Rattus norvegicus: one gene and its partners. The protein of the gene in region 1 interacts with the protein of each later gene in a pairwise test. Links are inferred from orthologs where the notes say so. Each region holds a gene or a part of one and is shown in the gene's direction. Other genes may lie near its edges. The genes, in order: Mtus2, Cdk5r1, Leng1, Ttc23, Dcx, Rab3il1 and Ccdc116.

Evidence for each region.
Region 2: the proteins of Mtus2 (region 1) and Cdk5r1 interact in binary tests that used the Homo sapiens proteins (3 or more experiments, as listed by UniProt). The two-hybrid records come from large-scale screens. The link is inferred for Rattus norvegicus from reciprocal best matches to the Homo sapiens genes MTUS2 and CDK5R1.
Region 3: the proteins of Mtus2 (region 1) and Leng1 interact in binary tests that used the Homo sapiens proteins (3 or more experiments, as listed by UniProt). The two-hybrid records come from large-scale screens. The link is inferred for Rattus norvegicus from reciprocal best matches to the Homo sapiens genes MTUS2 and LENG1.
Region 4: the proteins of Mtus2 (region 1) and Ttc23 interact in binary tests that used the Homo sapiens proteins (3 or more experiments, as listed by UniProt). The link is inferred for Rattus norvegicus from reciprocal best matches to the Homo sapiens genes MTUS2 and TTC23.
Region 5: the proteins of Mtus2 (region 1) and Dcx interact in binary tests that used the Homo sapiens proteins (3 or more experiments, as listed by UniProt). The link is inferred for Rattus norvegicus from reciprocal best matches to the Homo sapiens genes MTUS2 and DCX.
Region 6: the proteins of Mtus2 (region 1) and Rab3il1 interact in binary tests that used the Homo sapiens proteins (3 or more experiments, as listed by UniProt). The two-hybrid records come from large-scale screens. The link is inferred for Rattus norvegicus from reciprocal best matches to the Homo sapiens genes MTUS2 and RAB3IL1.
Region 7: the proteins of Mtus2 (region 1) and Ccdc116 interact in binary tests that used the Homo sapiens proteins (3 or more experiments, as listed by UniProt). The two-hybrid records come from large-scale screens. The link is inferred for Rattus norvegicus from reciprocal best matches to the Homo sapiens genes MTUS2 and CCDC116.

The regions. Positions count from the first base shown.
Region 1 is NC_086030.1:11,968,004-11,971,503, reverse strand, and holds part of Mtus2 (microtubule-associated tumor suppressor candidate 2), read left to right. Parts: intron 1-234; coding exon 235-475; intron 476-3,500. UniProt on the Homo sapiens protein: Binds microtubules. Together with MAPRE1 may target the microtubule depolymerase KIF2C to the plus-end of microtubules. May regulate the dynamics of microtubules at their growing distal tip.
Region 2 is NC_086028.1:65,980,766-65,983,716, forward strand, and holds Cdk5r1 (cyclin-dependent kinase 5 activator 1), read left to right. Parts: upstream 1-1,273; 5' UTR 1,274-1,432; coding exon 1,433-2,356; 3' UTR 2,357-2,451; downstream 2,452-2,951. Other genes in the region: uncharacterized protein Cdk5r1l, read right to left, coding at 749-1,273. UniProt on the Homo sapiens protein: p35 is a neuron specific activator of CDK5. The complex p35/CDK5 is required for neurite outgrowth and cortical lamination. Involved in dendritic spine morphogenesis by mediating the EFNA1-EPHA4 signaling. Activator of TPKII.
Region 3 is NC_086019.1:74,465,982-74,470,142, forward strand, and holds the start of Leng1 (leukocyte receptor cluster member 1), read left to right. Parts: upstream 1-1,361; 5' UTR 1,362-1,401; coding exon 1,402-1,533; intron 1,534-2,772; coding exon 2,773-2,952; intron 2,953-3,623; coding exon 3,624-3,874; intron 3,875-4,161. Other genes in the region: Tmc4 (transmembrane channel-like protein 4), read left to right, coding at 644-722, 827-895.
Region 4 is NC_086019.1:130,717,917-130,721,416, forward strand, and holds part of Ttc23 (tetratricopeptide repeat protein 23), read left to right. Parts: exon of another isoform or gene 1-1,763; coding exon 1,764-1,891; exon of another isoform or gene 1,892-3,500. UniProt on the Homo sapiens protein: Participates positively in the ciliary Hedgehog (Hh) signaling.
Region 5 is NC_086039.1:112,301,362-112,305,409, reverse strand, and holds the start of Dcx (neuronal migration protein doublecortin), read left to right. Parts: upstream 1-1,248; 5' UTR 1,249-1,292; intron 1,293-1,303; exon of another isoform or gene 1,304-1,468; intron 1,469-1,588; exon of another isoform or gene 1,589-1,785; intron 1,786-3,046; 5' UTR 3,047-3,068; coding exon 3,069-3,432; intron 3,433-4,048. UniProt on the Homo sapiens protein: Microtubule-associated protein required for initial steps of neuronal dispersion and cortex lamination during cerebral cortex development. May act by competing with the putative neuronal protein kinase DCLK1 in binding to a target protein.
Region 6 is NC_086019.1:216,094,404-216,097,903, forward strand, and holds part of Rab3il1 (guanine nucleotide exchange factor for Rab-3A), read left to right. Parts: intron 1-1,881; coding exon 1,882-2,137; intron 2,138-2,529; coding exon 2,530-2,625; intron 2,626-2,705; coding exon 2,706-2,783; intron 2,784-3,500. UniProt on the Homo sapiens protein: Guanine nucleotide exchange factor (GEF) which may activate RAB3A, a GTPase that regulates synaptic vesicle exocytosis. Promotes the exchange of GDP to GTP, converting inactive GDP-bound Rab proteins into their active GTP-bound form.
Region 7 is NC_086029.1:97,348,527-97,352,576, forward strand, and holds the start of Ccdc116 (coiled-coil domain-containing protein 116), read left to right. Parts: upstream 1-1,250; 5' UTR 1,251-1,360; exon of another isoform or gene 1,361-1,364; intron 1,365-1,473; 5' UTR 1,474-1,541; coding exon 1,542-1,613; intron 1,614-2,515; coding exon 2,516-3,064; intron 3,065-3,168; coding exon 3,169-4,050.

The DNA.
Region 1 (3,500 bases):
AATAATGAAATTAAAAAGAAACCCCAAAACTGAGCTCTTTTTTCTCCCCTGGAGTATTTGCACCAGCAGGCACCGAAGCTCTTACACCGTCTTCGTACTGTCATTGTAAAGGCGGGGACCCTGGGCTGGGCGTGGCACCAGATCTCTGAGCGAGCAGCCAGTCCTGTGGTGGCGCTTATCATTTGAGTGTGGATCTCCTGCCTGTGATTAGCTCTCTCTGAACTCTCATTTTAGGTCACAGACCACCCTGGGAAAGAAGAATTTTGCTCTCCTCCCTACACCCACTACGAAGTCCCTCCCACTTTCTACCGCTCTGCAATGCTCCTTAAGCCTCAGCTGGGGTTGGGCGCCATGTCCCGACTCCCATCAACCAAGAGCAGGATTCTGATCGCAAGCCAGAGGTCCTCAGCGGGTTCCATCCATCCACCCGGATCAATCGCAACAGCCACCAGTTTCTACGGTTCTGATCCTTCAGGTAATTAAGTCTAACCATGACTCTTTTTTCCTGTTGTGCATTTAAATATCAACTATGAAATATCGTGACTGTCTCCTTACGACTGCCCCTAATAAGAGAAGCCACTCCCTACTCCTCCGTCTGTGTAGACACAGATGTCCTTGAGAATTCACCTGCAGGGGCTCCCATCTTCCACGCCGCTGTCACAAAACATGGGCCCTTGTTACCACCTCCTGGCTTCTTGTGTAAAGTAATATACATGTTACTCTTAGGATAAATGATTTGAAGTTAATTATTGTGTGAAAATATATCTAGACATAAAAAAATGTTTATCTTTTTTAATTTTATGTGTATGACGTATTGCACCACCTGCATGCAGTGCCAACCGAGGCCAGAAGAGGGCATCAGATACCCGGGAATTGGAGTTAACCAACCATTCTAAGTTGTCAGATGGATGCTAGGAATCAAACCCTGTCCTCTGGAGGAAAAACAGACAGACAACTTCTCTTAACCTCTGCACCATCTCCAGCCTATATTTGAATACGTGTGTGTGTGTGTGCACGTGCTAATTTTCTAGATAGTTTATAGCAGCTATTTTGCCCTAGAGTTTCTCGAAAGTCCCATTTCCTCGAAACTATTGGGTTTTACCATTTTATTTTTGAGCCAAGTCTCACACGTGGCCCTGGCTGGCCTAGAACTCACTATACATACCAGGCTGGCCTCAACTGTCACCATGCCCAGTGACCATTGAGATTATTGTCGGAGAGAAACTTTTTCATCTCTTTGCCATGTATTACTTTGTGAATCGTCGTGTACTCAGAGAGTTACTGATGGCCCTATTTATTTGTTTTCTTTAATAAGCTTCTGTATTGGTGATTCCCACAGTAGCTGTGTATCTTAATAGAATTACCTGTGCTTAGAGCCGGTACAAGTCTGCTGCTTTTCAGTTAGTAGGTAATGATTTCTGGGGGGCTGTCAGCCCAGCTTGCTGTGTAGGGACAAAGAGATCAACACACAAAAATATCCTTGCCCTCTGGGAGCTTACATTTTAAAATATGGGGATGTTTTGTTTTAAAAAAAAAAGCCAGTAAATTACACGGTCTGTTGAAGTGAGTATTGAAGAAAAAGAAACATTAGTGAGGGAGGAGGGGGCCTTTGGAAAAGAAGGAAGGGCGTTGTCTCTTTAAACAGTAGCCAATCCCCAGGGAAGATGAGGGAGGAGCTGTAGTAATTTTTTTTCCCTTCCTGGTCCCATGCTCCTGGAATAATGACTCCAAGATTCAAATATTTTTATAAATACCTAAGCCAAAAGCTTTGGCTGTTCCCTGCTGGTTTATAATTTAATAATCCCATTTATAATTTAATAATCCCATTATTGTCGTCTAAGCTTGGCCCTCCCCCAGAATCCTTCCTGCCTGTTGGATGTCCCACCTTCTAGTTCCTGCCTCAGCTACAGGCCAATCAGCTCTAATTGACAAGTGTTGCATCCATACAGTACACAAGAGATTTTCTTTGCCGGAGAATCCTGGAGGACTTCTGAAGTATTGCTTTCCAGGAAGTGGGAGGAGCCAACGCAAAGGCCGCTGGGAAGCACGGGACTGAATGAAGGGGAGAGTGGCAGAGGAATGGGATGGGGACAGGGAGGGAAGTTGGGGTCAGATAAAGTCTCTTTGCAGGGATTTGACTCTTCCTGTGAGAGGCAGCTGTTGGAGGACTTGAAGCTGGCACACAGGGCACAGTCCAGCTTTTTCTTGTTTAAGCACGATCTCCTTGCCTATAGGGAGGAGAGCAGAAGGTCAGATAACCTATATCATAGGTCATTTCTGGAGTCTACTGAGTGTGTACTCACACGGTCTCTTCACTTGGGCTATGGAACAAATTCAAGCTTGTGTGAGCTGTGAGAGTTTTGTTTGTTTTTGTCTGCCTAATAACATCTCAAAACTTTGTTTTGTCCACCTTGTAAGGCTTTCCACGTTACATCTACAGACTGATGATAAACATTTAAAGAGTGCGTCTCAACCTACCAACGCTGAGATTCTTTAACACAGTTCCTCAGGTTGTGGTGACACACCCCCCCCCCCCCATTTCTGAACTGTAATGTCAATATCTGTGTTTTCTGATGGTCTTAGGTGACCCCTGTGGAAGGGTCCTTTGATTACCAAGGGGGTCATGACCCACAGTTTGAGAACCCCTGATGAGAGCTTTAAGCGACTCTGATGCAGATTCTTAGACATCCCGTTCTCAAGACTCCCTTCTCTCTGCCTCCTCCAACCTAGATGTCGATCGTCCAAAGCCCTCACCTCTGTGCCTCCTCCATTCGCATTCCTCCTTCAAGTGCTGCAGCCTGGAACCTGCCCTCTGAGTGGGCTTTCTCCCGTTCTTTTCTCTCAAGGGTCAGGACCCTGTGAGGGCTCCTGTGCGGTTCCTGAAGTCAGTGGCTGGCCTTTGCCCACATTTTGATAGTTCTTGTTTCCCAGCTGTTCACAGCATGCCGCTGATGCCTCTTGGGTAGGATGTCCCTTACATAATCACAGAAGCTGCTAGCCCAGCCTCCTATGGCTTTCCTGTGTCTAATACAAGGCTTACTCATCTGTGTTTACGCTTTTAGTTCCCGATTACCACGTGGGCTTATTTGCGCGATGTTCGAAGGCCCTCTTTGATGCATGTCTGTCCACGGTTGTGGTTTTGTGTTTAGCCGTCATTCATACTCGATCGATTCAGATACTCTGTCGTGTCTCCTGGGCATTGCCGTATCTGTTTTACGGGGCTCTGAGCAGCACCGCACTGTCAGAAGAGAGCCGGAGTTAGGAGCAGGATGCACGCTTCTCTGAGTGACCGAGCATTTACATGTTTCCAATGTCAAGTAAACACTTACATCCTAAAATCTACGAATAGGTTAGATACCTGAGTTCTAATACACTAGCTGGATGTTTCCCAGCTCAGGTAGGAAGCCTCTTAAATGCCTAATAGCCGTGAGCTCTAAGTGAGTCAGGAGAGGTCCCCAATGTTTCCATTCCACTGCTGGTTTTGCAGGCAGCACCAGGTG
Region 2 (2,951 bases), on another chromosome or scaffold:
TTTGGGTACAAAAAGAAACTGGCACTTTCTAACTTGGAAGTACTTCACCTAATGACCTCAACAAGATTCTTGTTTTGGGTAGTTTGCTCAACCGTTGCAGGTGTTGTCAGGAATTCTCTTAGGTTCGGAGTTGGGAGTCTGAGTTAAGATACAGGTTGGCTTGTTTGACAGTATGGGTCTCCAGAACCAGTCCGAAATGAGTGACTTGTAAATAAGCAGTGGCCTTTGTGAAGGATATGGAGGCTGCTTGTGAACTATGCGTCGCTAGTCAGAACCAGATTTATTTATTTACGTATTTAATTTTGCAATTTTACTGTCATCAAATTTTAAAACGGGCAAATGAGAGACTGGCCTGAAGGCGCAGCAGCTTTGATTTTTGACAGCTGTCCTGACGGGATCTCTAGGCCGCCCTCGCCCTTCTGGCCTGGCTTTCTAGAGTCATGATGGGTGCCGGGCCTTTACGCCGATGCGGGATGCGGCTTTCCCTTGTGGGAGCCCCGGCCAGCTCCACAACGCCCGCAGCCTCCGCTGAGGGGGCCGCGGCGGGAACAAAGGCAGCACGTGTCTGGGCGGGGCCGCCCTCCGCCCCGCCCGCTCGCCCGTTCGCCCGCACGCCCAGCGAGCTCCGCTGCGCGGCTCCGGGGCTCAGGAGGCCGGGCTGCGCCGCGCGGCGCCGGCGGCTTCCAGGTGGAGACCGGGCTTCGCGCGTTCCCGCCGCCCGCGCTGCGACCCGTATGGGGCGCGCCCACTAGAGGCGCCATTGTGCGCCGCTCGCGCTGAAGATGCGAGTGCGGCGAGACTGAGCGGGCTTGTGGACCGCGCGCGCAATCTGGAGAGGCAGCTTGGGGGGCGCTCGCCGGGGCGGGGCGGGGCGGGGCCGGCGGGTGCGCGGCGGAGACGCAGGCGGGGGCCGGGCGGGGGCGGGGCCGCGGCGCCTGCAGAACCTTGGACAGAAGCTGAGAGCCGCCGCCGCCGCCGCGCCGAGCCGCGCCGAGCCGCGCCGAGCCCCGGGGCCGCGGCGCGCATTGCGGAGGGTCTGGGACGCAGCGGCTGCGCCTGCCGCGGGGAGCCTGCCTGCGGGTAAGCCTCCGCGGACCGGGGCCGTGTGCGCGGCCTGGTTGGACGCCTGCGGCGGCGGCCGCTGCGGCGCTTGGCTGGTGCCGCAGTGGAAGCATAGGCTGGGGCTCCACGGGGCCGCAGCCCGGGGGGCTCGGGCCTCGGAAGTGCGGGCGGAGGGGCGCGGCGCGGAGCCCCGCCCGGGGCTGAGAACCATCTTGTTTTCCACGCAGATCCGCAGGGCTACACGCGTCGTGTCCCGGGAGCGCCTCCTTTCTCTCTGCGGCCGCTACAGGCTTGGTAAGCCTTTTTCTCCCTCCGGCCGGCAGGCTGGGCGCGCAGGGGTGCCGGCCCCTGCCGGGCGCGCAGTGGCACCATGGGCACGGTGCTGTCCCTGTCCCCCAGCTATCGAAAGGCCACACTGTTTGAGGATGGCGCGGCCACCGTGGGCCACTACACGGCCGTGCAGAACAGCAAGAACGCCAAGGACAAGAACCTGAAGCGGCACTCCATCATCTCGGTACTGCCTTGGAAGAGGATCGTGGCGGTGTCAGCGAAGAAGAAGAACTCCAAGAAGGCGCAGCCCAACAGCAGCTACCAGAGCAACATCGCGCACCTCAACAATGAGAACCTGAAGAAGTCGCTGTCGTGTGCCAACCTGTCCACGTTCGCCCAGCCCCCGCCGGCCCAGCCGCCCGCACCCCCAGCCAGCCAGCTTTCTGGCTCCCAGACTGGGGTCTCCTCTTCTGTCAAGAAGGCCCCGCACCCTGCCATCACCTCCGCAGGAACACCCAAACGGGTCATCGTCCAGGCGTCCACTAGTGAGCTGCTGCGCTGCCTGGGTGAGTTTCTCTGCCGCCGGTGCTACCGCCTGAAGCACTTGTCCCCAACGGACCCCGTGCTCTGGCTGCGCAGCGTGGACCGCTCCCTGCTTCTGCAGGGATGGCAGGACCAGGGTTTCATCACACCGGCCAATGTGGTCTTCCTCTACATGCTCTGCAGGGATGTTATCTCCTCTGAGGTGGGCTCGGACCACGAGCTCCAGGCTGTCCTGCTGACCTGTCTGTACCTCTCCTATTCCTACATGGGCAATGAAATCTCCTACCCGCTCAAGCCCTTCCTGGTGGAGAGCTGCAAGGAAGCCTTTTGGGACCGTTGCCTCTCAGTTATCAACCTCATGAGCTCCAAGATGCTGCAGATCAATGCTGACCCACACTATTTCACACAAGTGTTCTCTGACTTGAAGAATGAGAGTGGTCAGGAGGACAAGAAGCGACTCCTCCTGGGGCTCGATCGGTGAGCCCCTGTAGCTGGTATCCTGGCTCAAGGATTCCATTCGTTTTTAAAATTTATTATTAAAGAATCAAGTTTTGTGTACAGTATGTGTCTAGCAGAGCCACCAAGGGCCTCTTCCCACGTTCTTTCCTTGGGTTTTTTTTTTAGCCCTTTCAAGAACTCTGGGGACTTTCGAACTGATGAACCTTGTGGGAACCCAGAAGATGCATTCAGAGCCACCTCGGCTGCTGACCACTCTCTTTCCGGGGCTCAAGGGACTGACTCGTCTACGTCACCTGTACCCACGATGGATCCAGGGTAGATGAGGCTTCCCGCTGTCCCATGATCTGAGCTGAGCCCCGAGGCTGGTGGCCCAGGAGGAACCAGCCCTTTTCTGGGTATTGTTTCATTCTCTCAAAGGCTCCTGCAGCCAGCCGTTCTGGTGTGGCAAGATCTCCACTGCCCCGGGGCATCAGTGAAGGCGCCTGGGAGTGGGTCTGGTGCAAAGATTGTTGGTGACTGTTGGCCGCGCACGGCCCTGGTCTGCTGCTTGCTGTTCAGAGAGAAGGGCTTTCTTTCCTTTCCTGGCAGGATGGAGCTCCCTCCCCGTCCTTTTGTCT
Region 3 (4,161 bases), on another chromosome or scaffold:
GAATGTGTGCGATTTAGTGTTTGAAAGAGAAAGGAGTAGGGTGCGGGGCACCTGAGTGTTAGAGAGGACTGGATGCCTATGTACAACAGAGGAGAAGTTGGGCTGGCCTGGATGCCTAGATCAAGAGCAGGAGAGTTGCAGTACGAATGCATAGGATCTAAGAAAAGACATCTGGGTTTGGACTCCTGGGTCTGAGGAAGAAGGGCTAGGGTATGGATTTATGGATTTGATGAAGGGGGAGGTGGTATGGAACCTGAACCTCTGGTTTAAGCAAAATCCCCAGACCCATCCAAAGGGTCTGTACTCTTGGGTCTGAGATGAGAGGATAAAGGGTGGCATTCAGAGTCTCAAGAAGGGTTTTAAGGGATTTGGGAATCCTGATAGTGATTTCTTTAATTTACTTATTCATTTAGTTTTATGTGTGTTGGTATTTGGACACATATGTCTGTGTGAAGTAACGAACTTGAGTTACAATCGTAAGCTGCCATGTGGCTGTTGGGTGCTGGGCGTTGAACCTGGGACCTTTGGAAGTGCATCTAATGTGCGGGTTACGAGCCATCTCTCCAGCCTCCTGATCCTGGTTTCTAAGGAGCCATATGATGAAGATGATTTCTAGAGTGATTTTCATTCCTGTTTTCTTTAGCATCCTGATGATGTATACAGTAGCCCTGGCTAACTGTTATGGACGCCTCATCTCTGAGCTCAAACGCCAGATAGAGACGGTGAGCTAGGCTGATTTCCCCAGGCAGGGCTCTCTCTATGAGAAGATGAAAGGGGAACACTGGTGAGGAGGTGTGCTTCACTTTCACTCTTTTTTTGCCCACAGGAAGTACAAAATAAAGTCTTCCTAGCCCAGCGAGCTGTAGCTCTGAGCTCAAGGAATGGAGTTTCCTGATTAGTCTGGCTGGACCTTCAGCCCCTCACACCCATCATAAACTTCATTGACTTCATATACCAAGCAGTGGGGCCCTCTCATCTCTGGAATCAAACCCCACGCCTTCTGCCACCGAATGCCACACTCTCAATTGAACCATGTTAATAAACAATAGCCAAGTCCATTAAGCGTTTTGAAACCCCGTTCTGGTGGCGTGGACGAGGTTTGGGGAGGGGCCAGGTCCATGACGGCTTGAAGGGCTTGGTTGTGTCTGCATAAAGGGATAGACAGGCAAGGCAGATCTTCGCCAGCCTCTTCCTGCAGCGACCGGTCAGGTTACAAATGCTTAGGATTGGCTGAGATGGAAAGCTTCTCAGCCAATCATCTCTAACAAAGGTTTAGGGGGGTGTGGCAATTGGCCCAGAACCAATGCACGGGCTAGGGTGGAACCATGGGGCGGGAGCATCCTCGAGCCAATCGGAAGTGCTGAAGAGTGGGCCTGACAGTCGGAGGTCGGCTTTGGAGCCATGAATATCTTACCCAAGAAGAGCTGGCACGTCCGGAACAAGGACAATGTCGCTCGCGTGCGACGCGACGAGGCCCAGGCCCGGGAGGAGGAGAAGGAGCGTGAGCGGAGGGTGCTGCTCGCTCAGCAAGAGGTAAGCCTGGGGCAGGCCCAGAAGCGCGGCCGGCCTGCCTATCACTTGGTGTCAGGTGCGGCTCGGTGTGTTTGGCGTGTTCGGCGATGTTTCTCTGAAAATCCTGTGCTAACTTCCATAAAACCTTCCTAGATTTCCCCACCGGCGTTGAAGGGGCCATAGGCTAGCACACAGGAAGAGTTGGACAAATATTCTGATTACTTTATAGGTTGCCCGCACAAGTTAATACTGATCACCCACTGTGTGTATGCTCCCTTCAGAGCTCTTGATTTGAGAAATTCCTCTTAGAACATTTTAGAGGGGTGCAGTCACCTTGCTTTGAGTGCCACGGCTTCAGCAAGAGAGCGAAGGACATCTGGAAGCATTATTTGAAACAGGGTCTCTGTTGCTGTACTGGAACTGGCTGTGTACACTAGGCTGGTCTCGAGCTCAGAGATCCGCTTGCCTGTGCCACCTGAACGCTGGTATTGAAGTACACTCACGCATTAACACAGACTTTAATAGTTACTCGATCAGTTTGGTTTACCCTTAAGTTCTTTGCCAATCTGATCATGAATTAGTGTGGGCCTTTAAAATTTTAAAAAAAAAAAAAAGGTGAAGCTTGTAATTACGCCCAGATACTAAGGCTACAGAGAGGGGAGTATTGTGAATTGGAGACTATCCTGAGCAATTCAGACTCTATCTGGAGTCGGTTTGTATTTGGAATGGTGACCTGGAGCCATGCCTTGGGTTCAGATCCTTTGTCCAGAAAGCAATGTTTGGCTACAAGTTTGGGAATATGCACATACTTGTGCTGGGGACTGAACTTCGAACTATACACACTAAGCAGGGGCTCTATAGCTGAACAAGCCACCTCTACCCTATTACTCCAGGCTGGAAAGTCTTCTGTTTTAGGCCAGAGGTCTTCTCCCACCTATCTCTGATAGCCCAGTTTACTGTTTAAAAACAATGGTTCTCCACCCAAAGTTAGAAGTGGTGTCTTTTTTGGCTCCCAATACCTCCATTCCCCCATCTCTTTTTTTCCTTTGATTTTTCAAGACAGGGTTTCTCTGTGTCGTTCTGGAACTAACTAACTCACTCTATAGAACAGGCTCACCTTGAATTCAGAAATCCCCCTGCCTCTGCCACCAGAGTGCTGGGATCAAAGATGTGTGCTACCACTGCCCTCCCTGCCCATGGACCCTTCTTATATCCTCAGCACTTCTGGACTCAGAATGTACTGCCTATAACCCTTCATAGGCCCGTACGGAATTCCTACGGAAGAAAGCCAGGGGCCGAAACTCACTGCCCGAGCTGGAAGCAGCAGACCAGGGAGCTCCATGTTCTGGCCCTGTGGACCTGTTTCGGGAGCTGCTGGAAGAAGGAAAAGGAGTGCCCAGAGGCAATAAAGAGCATGAGGAAGAGAAACGACAGGAAAAAGTAAGCTGGCCTCATTTGTTGGTGGAATCCTGGGGGGATGGGTGGGTGGGGTAGAGACTGGCTGTGACTGTTAGGATATGGTGATAGATGAGTGCATAGAAAATTTAGCAGTGAGAGGTATCACCTACAAGCTGGTTATTGCTATACAACACTTAAACTGGCTAAACCTTTTTCATGGGACTAAAGAAAGTCTTAAGCTATTTTATTTTGAGAGGAGATCACAACTACATAGACCAGGGTGCCTTCCAGTTTTTAATCCCCCTGTCTTGGCCCCCTGGGCCAAGTGTTGGGATCACAGGCACAAACCTCCAGACAGCAATTGTGCTTTTTAAACTATGACTTGTACTGTGGCTCTCCTACACCTCACCCAACTTTGAAGGTGCTGTCTCCCACTGAAAATCACTCCTCTGCTTGGCTTTTCTGTGGACTGTTCCCAAATTAAGCTTCTTCCATCTTCCATTACTGCACAGGCCACTGCATTCCTTTTCTTCCTCCTGCAAATAAGCTCCTGATGCTTTGCAAAGCTGGTTCCTGAACGTTCTTGTAATTTCCCTTGTTAAATGTCTGCCTACCAATCCGTCTCTAGAAACTCAGGCGCTGGGTTTTTCTATTGCCACACCTAGGGCTCCCAGAGGGACTGAAAAGACTATTTTGTTTTCTTGCCCCTGCAGGAGAGACAAGAGAAAGCACTAGGTATTCTGACATACTTGGGCCAAAGTGCAGCAGAGGCCCAAACTCAACCTCCCTGGTACCAGCTACCCCCAGGGCAAAAAGGCTGCCCTCCAGGCCCAAGCCCAGATGAGAAGATCAAAAATCGACTGGACCCCTTGAGGGAGATGCAGAAGCACCTGGGCAAGAAAAGGCACAGCAGCGAAAGCCATCCTTCCAGAGAGGAACGGCCTCCAAAACAACGGCCCAGAGAGTAAGAATAAACATGGCCCACAGTAGAGCAGAGTGAGACTTTGTGAAGATCTAGCACACCAGCCAGGGTACCACAGAAAGGCTAAACAGGTCAGGCAAGATGAAGTGGTTCTTGGTATGCTGTCTAGGGACCTCTGTGGAGACACTTAAGGATTCTAAGAACAGTAGCTTGTATACAGCATATATATATTTTTTAATGTGTATTTTAATGAGTACTTGTTACATGTCTATGTACCACGTAATTGCCGATGCCTTTAGACTAGAAGGCATTGGGGTCCCCTGAAACTG
Region 4 (3,500 bases), on another chromosome or scaffold:
CCTCCTAGCAGCCAGAAAGAAAGGAGAGAGAAAAGAAGGGAGCCAGGTGCACACCCTCAGTAGCATGATTTCCTTCAGTTAGATTCTCTCTTAAATGTCTCACTACCTTCTAATAGTTTCACAGTCTGGAAACCAAGCCTTTAGCATGTGAGCCACTGGGAGGCAATCTAGACCCAAACCACAGCAGCTCCCAGGGTCTCTGACTCCTTTTTCTGTCACCAGCTGGAGAAGATTCTCTATGGTCAGAAAAACCCTAGGTGTCTGGCATAGTGGTGCCAGCACTCTAGAGTGCAGAGGCAGGTTGATCTCTGTGAGTTCAAGGACAGCCAGGGCTGTCTCAAAAAACAAATTAATAACAAAAGCCCATGTGATTCAGTGGTGCCCAAGAGATGTCACTTTCTAAAAGCCAGCAGAGACCTGTGATCTCACAGCACACTCAGGACTCTGGCCCAGAGCCACAGGGATGAGTAGCAGTGAAGTCGCCTTTGAAGCACCATGCTGGCCTCTTACCAGCAGCTTCACTCAGCTTCCTACCACAAACCAGCCTCAGGCCCCATCCCCAGTCCTGATCAGCCTGGGAAACCCGGGTGCTGAGTGGATACACTGTTTCTAATAGGTCTGTGGAGTGCTCAGCCACTTTCCCTTGTTTGCCACAGTCTGGCTGTGGCCCTCCTGAGGCCCTTATACTAAAGGCTTGGCCCACAGCCTGTGCTACTACTATTGACCAGCCTCAGAACCTCTCAGCGGTGACGTCGGGAACCCCGGTCCTTCCTGATTCTCCCCACTTCTAGTTACCATGACATGATATTACAGGTTCTCTTAGCCTCGGCAGAGCAGAGGCAACAGTCACTGAGTCATAGACCGACACCTCCGACAACATGAGCAAAACATGGCCTTCCTCACTTTAAGTTGCATTAGATTAGCTCAGGCATTTGGTATAACAAGAGGGCTGTCTATAGTCACAGTTCTGGTTTTTAATTTCATTTTCATTTTCCATGCCTGGGCTCTTCCCTGTCCTGCTTTTATGGTTGTCATTTACTTGAAACTTTTTGTTTTATTAATTTGTGTGTTTAAGGGTTTAGAATGGTTGGGGTTCTTCAGTAGTTTATCAACCAGACTTTTTTTTTTGTCTTTTTTTTCTTTTGGTTCTGTTTTGTTTATTGGTGTGTGTGTGTGTGTGTGTGTGTGTGTGTGTGTGTGTCCATGTGTGTCCATGTGTGTGTTTGTGTGTGTATGTGTGTGTATATGTGTGTATGTGTGTGTATATGTGTGTATGTGTTTATGTGTATGTGTGTATGTGTGTTTGTGTGTGTGTATATATGTGTTTGTGTGTGTGTATGTATATGTGTGTTGTAGAAATATATAACAAGATTACAGTTAGAGTCCATAAAACTGCGTGAGCTGTGAAGAGTGACTGATGTCTAAGCAGAGATAATGCACTCTCACTCAACATGACAATACCCTAATGTGTCCTAATGTGCTCAGGTCTGGGGACAGTTTCTCCTTTCTCACCCCATTAATTTTGCTTTGTATGTCACAAAGAACACTAAAAATAAGGAAAGCAGGTTGCAGTCTCCTTCTGAGACTTAAATAATCTCTGCCAGCACAGGCAGGATAGTGGGCCCCAGAGAGTCCCTTGGACTGACGTCTCTTCTCCAAATGCTCGTGTTTTAAATGTTTCACTGTCACTAACAACATCTTTGCTCCATCTCTGCTTGGGTCTTTCAGCTGTTTTCAAAATTGTTGTTCTATGCTTTTCTCAGATGTGGCCGAGAAGTATTTTCAGGAAAGCATGACTTACCTCAAGGATTCCGAAGGAACAGAAAAAGCCAAGTTCCTTTCGATTCAAGATGAATTTTGCAGTTTTCTGCAAACCATTGGACAAAAAGAAGTAAGTGAGTTTAGATCACAGTTGTCAAGCTATTCACATGGCACGCCAAAGACTTCTTCACTCTGCCAGCATCTACTGAGCACCTACCATGTACAGAGTGTGTCCTAGCCTTGGAGGGACCCAGGTAAATAAATGAGGGAGCCGCTCTGGGCAGCAACCAGATACTTTCTCTTAGAGACAAAACTGTGAGAAAGTAAATGGTCCATCCAACTCTGAATGATCACCACTGAGGCTTAAAAACCGTGAGCACCCAGTGACAGAACCCTTCTCAGGACAGCCTGTGGTGCCTCCAGCTGGGATGCCGTGTGGCAGTCGGTGCAGCCAGCTTTTCCCTTCTCATTCTGAGCACTGAGTGGGATTTTTACATAATGGAAACTACAGAGCACATCGGTTTCAGCTCTCCCTCCCCACTGCTGGCCTGGAACGGCGGCACGCTCGACATCACTTAGAGAAGGGGAGCAGGGCACTTACAGGTGCCAGAGCCTATACCCACTGTGATATAATGCCAAGGAGCATGTGCCCCGCAAACTGTAACAGTTCCAAAGGGAGACCGTAGATACCTCAGAGGCTGAGGGAGAGAGAGAGAGAGGGAGAGAGAGAGAGAGAGAGAGAGAGAGAGAGAGAGAGAGAGAGAGAGAGAGAAGCGCAGCCCAGCACAGCAAATCTTGGAGATGAAGAAGATGGAAAGTGTCTTTCCTGTGTTGTCTGGAAACTTGCTCCCACAGCGCTCTCCTCATCCACAGCGCTCTCCTCATCCCTAGTTTCTTTTCTGTCAGCTAAGGAACATGACTCTTCTTCTCTACTCACCCGAGTCCGTCAGGCCGGAGTAGATCCAGAGTCACTATAGCAAATAGTGTCTCACTGTTCTTACGAATCGCCCAATCAAAGATAGAGAAGGCCCTGCTAGGGGATCACGTAACAGAGATAGAGGACCATGGCCTTAGATTCCCACCCTGGACGCTATCTCGGTCCTATGGGAACTTTGAAGCTTCCTCACTCACTTCCAGGTTTCCTTAATAGACACCTGGTTTAACCCTTCCCCTCCTGCCAGGCTTCATCTCTTGTCAGGACCACTGTGGCACCTTCTCTTCCCCAGGGGCTTCGTCCTGTCTTGCACTTGTCTGTCTATTCAGTCTAGCGCATCTGATCGATGGACACTCGTTGGCCCTCCAGTGAGTGCAATGCCCTCACGGCAAACCCCACACTTCTAGGCTCACTTTGTTCCTTCCCTAAGCTAATTGCCTGCAATCAAAGCTTTTTTAAAAATCTTAAGGCAGGTGTGGGTTTACACAATCGTGTGTGTACAGGTGCATGGGCACACATGTGGAGACCAGAGGACAAGCTGTAGATGCCATCCTCAGGAAGCCCAGACACATCCTTTATGACAGGGTATTGCAACTCACCAAGTAGGCTAGACTGGCTGACCAGCAAGCCCCGGGGATCCATTTCTCTTTGCCTCCCTAGTTCTGTGATTACAGGTGCCTGCTGCCACACCCAGCATTTTTATGTGGGTTCCACGGACTGAACTCAGACCCTCGTGCTTGAAAGTACAAAGACTGAGCCATCTCTCCAGCCCATACTGACTTTTTCTAAAACACGCACGTGCACA
Region 5 (4,048 bases), on another chromosome or scaffold:
CTCTTCTTATGGGCTGCTTTCATGTTTTTTGATCTCTCTCTCTCTCTCTCTCTCTCTCTCTCTCTCTCTCTCTCTCCACACACACACACACACACACACACACACACACACACACACGTGCACACACACACACAGAAAGAGAGAGTTACATATGAGAGAAAATAAATCCTTTTGTCTCTCTTAGCCTAGAATACCTCACTCAGTATAACATTTTCAGTTCCCCACAATTTCTTCATAATTTTACTTTTTACCAATGGATGATTAAAATTGTGCATATATCTTGCATTTTCATTACCTATTCATCTGTTAGCAGACATCTGGGCTGTTTCTATTTTCTGGCTTTTATGAATAGAGCAGTAATAAACATGGATATGCAAGTGTCTCTATGGTAGGGTATAGTCTCCCTTGGGTATATGCCCAGGAGTAGGAAGGTGAAACATTAACCGATGTTTTACATCAGTCTAAAATGTTTTGTAGACATGTTGGGCTTGGGGACCTAAGTGCTGGCAAATTCTAGTAGCAAGGAAGCAGAACAGAGGCTGAAATTTTTCCACAAGTTAGAGGTCAGCCTGGGCTACACAGTGAGTTCCAGAACAGCTATGACTATAAAGCTGGACCCTGGCTCGATAAAACAACTGAACAAAAACTTGGAGGAGTGCCACTTTTCAATTCTAGCCTTCATGATTTCTGCAACTATTTCCCCTTGTATTATTAATTTGCCATACCCGCTGACTTCATTAAACAAAACAAAACCAAAAACAACAACAACAATAACAAAAAACAGTGTCGGATGCGCAAGCTCAAATGTCAGAAAATTTACAAATTTTTATTTTCTTCAAAGAAGGTAAAATGAAGAGTGCTGTAATTTCTAAGAAACTTGATTTGGCCTGCTGAGTCCAGCCACTAGGCAGATTAGGCCAAGGATTTTTAGCCAAGTAAAATTGCCAATTTTCTAAGAGAAAGGGCTAGCACATTGCTCATTAGAGCATTCTGAGCTTGCCTGTGCAATCCTTTTTTTTTCCTACCCTGCAATTTCCTGTGGGTTATAAACGAAACCTTTCTAGCTGTTAATGCAGGCTGTGAATTGAAGAAAAAAAAGCATGTAATTAATCATAGGAGGTTGGGGGTGTTCGCTAAGCTTCAGTTACAGGGGAGAAGCTGGACAAGGCACTAGGACCTAGAAGGCAACTATCCACCCTGGCAGGAATTTCTTGCTTGGAGCTCAGACAACAAAGGCATAGAGAGATTGGTTTTCTTTCTCACAGCATCTCCACCCAACCAGCAGAAAACCGGTGAGTGGGGCTTTCGAGTGATTTTCAAGCAGAATGTAACAGATGTCAAACGGGAGAAGCACAAGGCACACGCCTTTCTTTCTCTGTGTGTCCGCCTCTTTCTTCTCTTTTATTTGCCTTATTCTGTAGGATTTTTTTGTCCTCTAAGATTCTACCTGGGATTTTCCTTTGGAAAAGTGAGTTTGTTGTTTCTTTGTTTTCACTATGATGCTAATTTAGAATAATAGCACTTCGGATTCTAAAGCGTATCTTTATTTGCACAGCCTGCCTGGGGAAAATGCTTGCTACTCATCTTGAGGAGGTGGGGTCTTACTACTGCAGGTTGTCTGACAGAGACAATGCTGAGCTCAGCATAGGTCATGGTGACACTGGAGAAAAAGGGGGGACCGAACCTGGCAAATAGACCAGCTACCAGCCCCCTTTTATCTCCTGTCTCCCCGGTTCCTTGCAAATCTTGATGTGGCAGTGTATTGCAGCTGAGTCCTCTTGCTTTGTGAGTCTTTTTCCTCCATCTGTGAGATGAATGCTAATAGTTTGGTTTCTTGGATGTCAAGTTATTACCTTTGTAAGCGGTCGAGGCTTTGGTTATATTATTTGGTTGCATGTTTTCATTGTTGCGTTCTTTTTTATTTCCTGGTGGGGATGGGCTCGGGGGGGGGGTAGAGGGGGTGGAAATCCAAGCTTTACAGATGACCTTTTTCTTTTGCCCCCATTAATTCACCTAAGCAATAGACAAGTTTGAAGTGAATTGCCTGCTTTGAGGACAAAATGTTCTGTCAGTCAGGGGAGGAAACCCAGAACAATGAAAGGTGTCCTCGCTTGTAAAGGTCCCATATGCTATTCAGGGACTCATTTGGGAATCTTTCGCCAATTATTTCATTAAGAGATATCGCTGCATTGGTCGGGGAGGGGATGAAGCACCTGAAAGGAGAAAAAGGATTCTGTGATCAAATGGAATCAAGAGGAAAGCAGAGCTAACAGCTTGCTAAATAACTGGTTTTTTGACAATCCCTCCCCCCTTTTAGACCCCAGCCTACTTCTTATGGATGCGGTATAGCAGCACCAGCTTGATGGAGAGAGGGTTTGATGAATAGCACAAAGACACTGGGTATTCCCTGGAGGCTGTCCCTTTAAAAGAGAATCCTAGTTTATTCTGGGGGAGGGGATACACATATTAGAGCAGGAAAAAAGGGACTGGAAATAAAACTAATACACCCCCATACTAGTCATTGTCCTGGGTTGTAAAGACTGCTTCCTATGCTGGAGATGCTAACCTTGGCTAGTTCCCTCTATTTCTCTTTGAGGGGATTTTGTCAGGCTATGGATTCATTTACAACTGTTAGTCATGTGGCCATGTGTGAAGTAGCAGATGCCAGTTTTAATGTATTTTGCCCGAAGTTACAATTTGATAGGAGCCACTGTCAGGAAGCTCCAGGTTTTTAAGCTGTTTCAACACCCCCTCCCAAATTTGGAACAGTGCCAGAAGTGCCACCCTTTCTATCTCTTTCTCCTATCCCCCTTCCCACCATTCAGTCCTCAGTCCACTGCCCAGCCCCCTCCTTCTACTCTATTAAGATCAATATTCCTGCAGGTCAGGGACAAGCAGCAGATGGGTCTCAGGCTTTTTTCAACCAGTTCTTTTCACAGGCAGCAGATTGCAGCTCTGGATCTGGCTAATATTTTAATTCTTTTCTCCCCTTACCCTTCCTTATTCTTTGCCTCTCCTTATCCCCGCCCCTTTTCCTAACAATCAGGTTGCTGTGGTTCCACCAAAATATGGAACTTGATTTTGGACATTTTGACGAACGAGACAAAGCATCTAGAAATATGAGAGGGTCACGGATGAATGGACTTCCAAGTCCCACTCATAGTGCTCACTGTAGCTTCTACAGAACCAGAACCTTGCAGGCATTAAGTAATGAGAAGAAGGCCAAGAAGGTACGTTTCTACCGCAATGGGGACCGTTACTTCAAGGGGATTGTGTACGCTGTTTCTTCTGACCGTTTTCGTAGTTTTGATGCATTGCTGGCTGACCTGACTCGATCCTTGTCCGACAACATCAACCTGCCTCAGGGAGTGCGCTACATTTACACTATTGATGGATCCAGAAAGATTGGAAGCATGGATGAACTGGAAGAAGGTAATTTAAGTAGCGAGTAGTGGGTGGTAGCCCCTGGAGGGAAAGGACATCCCTGCTTCTGGTTATACTTTTAGTCTTCCTTGAAAGAAACTGGCTATTTGTTTGCCAAAACATCAGGTTGACGGATGGCTCAGGCTTCTGATCCCAAAGACACCCTTAACTGTCATTCCTTGTGGGGTTCCATCTCTGCTGTGGTTGAAATGTATGTGGGTCTGCTAATGCTAAATGTGCTTATCTGCCTAGGTATACAAAGGGAAATCTGAATTGTGACACTCACTCTAGATAGTGTTCATAGGTAACCCTGGGTAGCACCATTAGAGCAGGCCACGAAACCATTAGGGGAAGGAAGAATGTATGGTTGGTTTAACAGATAAAAATTGTGCCCACATTTCCTATGAATCACTGGGAAATTATTTGGGAATTGCCAGTCATTAGAAATACATGCCTCGATATAGGAATCCCTGGATATGTTCGCAGAGGATTAGACTTTTAGGTAAGTGGTTGCTGCTCAGCTGTTGCTTTGGAAAAGCTCACTTACGGGCGTGTCCATGGGGCTGAGATCATTGGGACAGATACGAAGGAAAGCTGTAGGTATGTCTGGTATTTTAATGAACAC
Region 6 (3,500 bases), on another chromosome or scaffold:
AGAACAACAGGACTGCTTGCTGCTCTACCTCTAGGGGATCTAATGCTTTCTTCTGGTCCCTATGAGTACAAACACATGTAACATCCATGGACATATATGTGCACATAAATACAAATAAGTCTTCACACACACACACACACACACACACACACACACACACACACACACACACAAACAGAGGCACGAGTAAGCCATGCTGCTATGCAAGCATGGAGACCTGAGTTTGAGCCAGGCATGGTGGCACACTCTTATAATCATCATCCTGGGGAAAGAGGCAAGAGAAGCCCCAAGGCTCCTTATCCACTCAACTGAGGCAACCTAAGATCCCAGTAAGAGACCTGTGATAACTCCAGAGAAGCAACATCCAAGGTTGACCTCTGGCCTCCACATGCATGTGCATAGACATGGCTGTACCAACACAAACATACAGACACTGACACACAGAGAAAACTCCCAGTCCCTGGGCAGAGTTCTCATCCCATACGGCTGCCACAGCACTGATAGGGTTGCCTCAGACCTCAAGAACCCTGTGCCAACAAGACCCCCTCCCCCACCCCAAAAAATGGTATTAGGAAAATCTGTCACACACACTGGTGGAATGGTGAATCTCTGCCCTTACCTTATATTCAATGAGGCCCAGTCTCTGCCAAGCAGAGCCCAGTTCCAGGAGCCTCAAGGTTATACCTTAGGCCTGTTCCAGGGCAGAGAGAAGGCTGGGTTAGGCAGTGGCCAGGGTCATGTTAAAGGAGTTGGCAGTGGGCTCACTCACTGCCGTGGTCTCTGAGAGCTTAGTTTCTTTGTGTTACTCAGAGAGAAACTGAGGCTCAGAGCTTCTCAGGGGCTTGGGGACAAGAGAGAGGCTAAACCCCAGCATTTCCTCCCAGTTATTCCAAGGCCCAGTCTCATTGGCCTTGTTCCTCCAGTGCAGGCCTGGCTGAGCCCCTCCTCCTCACTTCCCCACGGTTATCTGTAGCCCAGCCCCCCCAACCCGCCAAGCCACTGCTGCTCTGAGGCTGCTGGCTCAGGAGCCCCAGATTTTTGCTGAGCTAGCAAAGCCAGAGGCGCTGTTTCTGCACAAACGGTCACTGGCCAGACCTTCCTCTCTTCCTTCTCCAGGGTCTGCTTTCTAGGGTGTGCTGTAGCTTGGAGGTGGGGGTTGATTAAGGACATAACCCCTAGTCCATCTAGGGGCTTCCGATTCAGCAAGCGGAGGGTCCTGAGGCTTCCAGAGGAGGGTGTGTTTGTCTTTAGTCACAGAGAAGGCCAGGGAGAGTTGAATCTTGCTCCTCACAAAATCCAGGGGTGGCAGGAAGTGGGTCTGTTATGCCTGGACTATTTGTAGGCTCTTCCTGCCTGTTGAGGCCTGGTGCTTCCTCTCTAGTCCGCCTTGTGGACTTCTATCATATTGACATGTCCACTAACAATGCTTTGTCATTGATAACATTTGCTTCGCTTTAACAAACCCATTTAATTGGCTCTGCTGTGCCAAGGTTTTCTGCCCATTCCCTTCAACTCTTGGGAGTTAGAATCATTGGGACAATCCTATCTATGGTGTAAGGACCGATGCATTTATATCCATTCGTCTGCTCAACAAAGTGGTGGTCGCCTGCTGTGTACCAAGCCCTGTGCCCAAGGGTGGGGATGGTGGGTAACAAAGGTACATGAGTCCTGCCTTGGCCCCTAAGAAAGTTCGTGCTTGGTCATTCTGCCCTTGTAACAGTCCAGTTACGGTTTAGTTACAGCTTATAGTGGCTCTATTTTACAGATGGACAGACTGAGGCTTACGTGACAGGGATGTGTCCTGGGGTTGGTCCCTGGGCTCAGTTCTGCAGGTCCTGAGTCCTTACCCTGTGTATGCTTATGTCCTCGTTTGCCTTGCAGCCCACCCCAACAAGACGAGGGCCTCCCTGTGGGCCTCTCAGCTATTTCAGTCCCCTGGAAAAACCTGGGCCCCAGCAAAGGTAACAGGAAGTCCCCAGGAGGCCTGGTAGAAGCCTCTGCTTCCTGGGAGGAGGCCGGGGGTGAGGAACACCCAGCAGCTGCTCCATTGGATGTATCACGCCTGCGCAGCTCCTCCATGGAGATCCGAGAGAAGGGCTCTGAATTCCTAAAGGAGGAGCTATACAAAGCCCAGAAGGTGGGTGCTCCAGGGCAGGGTTGGGGACTGAGGTAGAGCAGCTACACTGAGTGACCTCAGATAGCTGTAGAAGGAAGGGAGAGGAGAAACTACTTGTCAAAGCCTGGCCCATGCTGGAGTCCTGGGAACCCAATGGAAGAGGCTGGTTCAACCCAGGGCTTCAAGCACGCTAGGCATGCCCTCTGTCGCTGAAGGCTCAGAAGTCTGAAGTGACTTCCACACATCCTGACTTACCCGGAAGTCTTCTTCCAGCTGGGATGGGATGCCAGGATAGGGTTTTAACTTGCGCATGGGCTAAAGTACCATCGAGTGTCAGATACCTGGTGACAGTCCCAGAGCTGGTGGCTGGGGACCTGGTTAGAGCAGGCTAACAGCCTCCTGCCTGCACCCAGGAGCTGAAGCTTAAGGATGAAGAGTGTGAACGGCTTTGCAAAGTGCGCGCACAGCTGGAGCAGGAGCTGGAGGAGCTGACGGCCAGCCTGTTTGAGGTACGCTGGGCGGCCTGGGAATGGGTGGCCCATGTGTCCAGTGTCCTGTGACCGCTCATGCAGAGATGCTGCCCTTCTAGGAAGCTCACAAGATGGTTCGGGAAGCCAACATGAAGCAGGCAGCATCGGAAAAGCAGTTGAAGGAGGCTTGGGGCAAGGTGAGACCCATCCCTGTGTGCCTAGGCCAGCCCATGGCTCCTGTCATAGTCCCTGATGGGGTGTACAACCCTCAGCTAGCAAGGGCGTGCAGCAGGTCCCTGTCAGACCTACCAGGAACAGGAGAACCCAGGTCTGGGACAGGTAGGGTGGGTCTGAAGTTAAGTAGCCCATGGCACCAGACTCCATCAGTGCTCTTGGTGCACCACTGTCTTCCCTAGGGTCCTCTGGAGCCCAGGAGGATCCAGTGGTTATTGCAGGTCTCCTCCTGCCTCCAAAGTAGAAATGTTGGCCATGGCGGTAGAGCACAGGCAGGGAGTGTCCTCTCTCAGAACGTCTGCTGGCCGATCAGTAAATGTGAAGCTGGGACCGCTTTTCTTTGCTTCTGGGGAACCATGAATACTTAGCAGGAACTCTAGGAAGTTCCTAGATGCCTGCTTCCAGCAGAGTCTCACAGTGTGGCCTGAGGCAGGCCATGTCTCCTGTCAGCCTTGGATTCCCTCTCTCTAGAATAGATGTCTTGGTTGGGGATTTAGCTCAGTGGTAGAGCGCTTGCCTAGCAAGTGCAAGGCCCTGGGTTCGGTCCCCAGCTCCGAAAAGAAAAAAGAAAAAAAAAAAAAAAACAAACTGGCACTTAGAATAGATGTCTTAGAGGTTGTTCCAAGGGCAAGGAGACAGGTACTGTGGGGATGTTTGGTTGCCAGGCTGTGGTAACCATG
Region 7 (4,050 bases), on another chromosome or scaffold:
GTTGGAGCCTGGCCTGCTCTGGTTTCATCGATCCTATCTGATCCCTGCATCACGGGAGAAGGGAGAGAGTTTGATTATAACAGTACCTGATGGGGTTGGGGATTTAGCTCAGTGGTAGAGCACTTGCCTAGGAAGCGCAAGGCCCTGGGTTCGGTCCCCAGCTCCGAAAAAAAAAAAAAAAAAAAGAAGAAGAAAACAAAAAACAAAAAACAACAAAAAAAAAAAAACAAAACAAAAAACAGTACCTGATGATGCTTTGTAATGGTTGGAGGCCTCGGAGAACGCTTCAGCCAAATTCTTGGCATAAACACTGCTGTGTCTGATCATAGTGATTGCTGAACCATCCAGTGTCATTCAACCACTGGGCCTCTCTGAGAAGCTGCTCTTGGGAAGGCCAGAGGCCATGGGACCCTGAGAACCACAGATTGGGAAGAGAAAATTAAGCATTTACTTTATGTATGAGGAATGGAGTTATTAGGGACTAGGGTTCACTGCTTTGATTCCTGCCCTACACGGCCTAACAGTACAGCTGTTAGACAAGAAAGAAACAATGTGGCAGTGGAGGATGGACTTGCTGTGGATATGTTGGCAATGACAGGCTTTCTAGGATGAAGGGAGAAGGAAAACTGTAGAAGTGAGTTTATATGGACTTTAAGGTGCAAAATGTGTTGTAATACTCATTTGTGGAAGGGTGCTCAGCTCCATTATGAGGAGCTGGTGTTAAGGGACTAAGTCATATCAGCAAGAAAAAGCAGGGACAGGAACTAGGCTGTGCAGAAAACCAGGACTCTTCACTTAAAAAGGAAGATGAGGGGCTAGTCCACGCTGCACCAATGAGGGAATGGGGTCCTAAGAGGAAGACAACGAGTAGGAGGTCCAGGAATGAGCTGAGGAAGATGTTTGAATAACAAGTTGAGGCTATCACTTTCACCCTGAGGATTAGACAAGCCCCAGATTCAGACCTCTTGGCTGAATAAAGTCTTATCTATAACCATCCCCAAGCGCTACTTACTTAGCTGGCTTGACTTAAAAATCCAGCAAGGTGGGGGAGGAGCCAATCTGGGCCCCTCCCCCAACCATTGTGTCGGGGAGGATAGTGAATGAGAGGCCAGATTCTGGCCAATCAGGATGAGGTATGTAAATGAGCATCCTGGGAGGCTGCGAGGGTAGGATTCCAGTGCACTGTGCGGTAGAGCTTTAAAGGGTGCTGAATGAGTGAACCCCTAGAAGCACAGCAGAGACTCTGGTAAGCAGGTTGGGGGCTCCAGGATGCCTCAGGTCTGAAAGAAAGAAGTCTGGACACACATTTGGACCCAGACACAGTTGCAAACAAAAGGCAGTGACTTGGGAATGTCCACAGATAAGTGACCAGTCCAAGCAGGGAAAGTTGGGACGTCTGGAGGACACAAGTACAGGGAATGAGGGGTCCATGGAGGCCTGGACCTAACTTTACTTCCTCTCTCCGCCCCATACAGAGGAGTCTGCATCTGTGCTGTAGGACCTGAAGAAGGAAGCAGAAAACAAATTTAATTATCCACATCATGGCAAGGTGCCGCCACCACTCAGGTTATCTGGCTGACGACGAGGCTGCTCACGGCACCTATGTGGCTCGGGTAAGTATATCCAGCTGACCCACCACTTGCTGCTGCTTTCTCATGTCCAGCTGATCTTACTGGGTCACTTGGTGAAATCCTTACTGTAGCGTCGCCTTACCTTATGCCTGCTTGCTGAGCCACTCCCCTTGGCCCCAGATAGTACTTGGGTGGACCAGGAGCCCTGAGAAGGAGCGTACAGGACTCAAGCTGGAGACACAGAATCGAGTCCTCAAGTGTAGCACAGCAATGAAGACAGTGTAGACCTTTGCTAGAGCCTGAGGGCGGAGGGCTCCCATAATTGCCTTTTCATACCACGAACACAGAACTCCACTTTCAGACTCCCAACTAGGGCTGGCATATATGAAATAGAGGCATTGGGAAACCTTCAGGGCAACCCTAATAGACCTGTAATTTGAAGAGAAGCCCTCGAAAAGGGCTGTTGTGAGCATAGTCATAGATCCTGAAGATAGCAGAGCTGGCTGGGATTCAAACTCAGGATTACCCGATTCTAAAATGTAACTCAGGGCTGGTGAAGTATCTAAGTGGGTGAAGGCACTTTGAGTCAAGACTGATGATCTGACTTGGGGATGATCAGTTTATCCCCAAGATCCACATAATAAAAGGAGAGAACCAGTCACACCAAATTGTCCTTTGGCTGCCATACCTGCACTGAGGCATACCTACATGCACATGTACCCACAAGTAATTGTTGAAAAAAATTTTAAGTGTAATTTAGTGGCTGAACATTTGCATATCATGTTCAAGACCCTGGGTTTAATTCCTAGCCTCGAGAAACCTTAAAGAAAAAAGTTTTCCACTGTTCAATACCAACCAGCTCCTAATGGCACCCCGGGAGGACTGCTCCTCACCCATTGCAGGGCATCCTGCCTGTTATGACAACCCTCTCTGTTCCAATATAGCTGCCCAAGAAGCATCTGTTGCCAGAGATGAGGCCAACTTGCAAGCTTGGGCGTGTACCACACCTACCATCAATGAACCGATACTCAGAGCGCCAGGGCCACCAGCAAAACCTTAGGCGCCCTCGGGCATTTGGTGGCTTCCTGGATTTCCTCACGGAGGGTCAGGTACTGGACAGCTTGCAGACAGTCGTGGAGCAGGCAACAGAATGTGTGGCTACCATGAAGACAGAGGCTGGAGTGCCACTGGTGGATGTACAAGACCGAGTGGAGGTGCCAAATAGTAGGCATCGTTCTCGAGGCAGACCCAGCATCAACACTGTGCATCGGCACCGTGCTCGGCCCACGCTGTGTGCTGGACACCCAAACAATTACCCATCTTGCTCCAGCTCCATGTCTGACTCCCATAGCAGCGTCACAGCTGGATGGCTGGGGTCCCGCAGCCAAGACAGTGACCTGGGTGCCAGAGGCGTAGGCTCATTGCCACCCATGAGGGACAAACTCCTGCTTGAGAAAAACCTCAAGAGGCTGCTACGACTGGAAAGCAAAGGGGTGAGGTCTGGTGCCATGGCTAAGGCTAGCAGAAGGTGGGCGTGAGATTAGCGGCTAGGGCTCCGCCTGCTTGGATCCCTCTTAGCTTTTCTTTCTCTTTGCAGAAAGTTCTGAATCAACACTGCTCCCAGAGGGATTCCCTGCTATGGGACTCACTGGGCAGCCAGAGCAGCAGTCAGCCGACCCGGGAACAGCCCCTGTCTTGGTTCTCTGGGCTTCTGGCCTCCACTTCAGTCACCCCTGAAACTTCAGAGTTGGGACTCGGAGAACAAGAGATGATTTTCCTCAAACAAGAATTAAACAAGGAGATAAAGTCACTGCTGAACCAGCCAACCTCCTTCAACCTGCCTACCTATTGTCCACTCAGGGAACCCCATCGTACCCTGGATTTCCTGTCTGAGCACCACCTCTTTCCAGCCCTGCAGCGTGTGGTCAGCCAGGCTGTAGACAAGCTGAGCCATGCCTGCCGCCACAATGGCTTCCCCCTCTTCCCTGTTACCTCAGAGCTGTCTCCAGTGTTTCCTGGGAACTCCGATCTTCAACCCAGCTCTAAGGCTTCCTTACCCACCGACAGGGAGGCTAGGGGAGAGACTTGTTATTCTCCCACCTCGGCCTCCAGCCCTAAGACATCTCACAGAAAAAGCAAGGACAGAAGGGGCTCCCCATCTAATGCAGTCCAGATGGCTACCAGATTCAGGCTCAAGGTGACACCTACAGAAGTCTCTAATGTCCCTATCCCCTCATCCCAGTGCATGCTGAAGTCTCCTAACTCTGACCTCAAATTGCAGAAACAAACTACAGCCTCAAACCACAACCATATACCTCAGCCCCGCCATGGCCTGCACCTCACCCTGCCTGCCCCTGGGATCACAGTGGAGGTGGCCTCCTGCCAGGGCCAACTCAGGGGCCAGGTCCAGCATAGTCTTGCCACTCCCTGCCATCTCCACTCCCATTTCCCTTTCCCTGTGTTCTCCCCATTCCTTCCC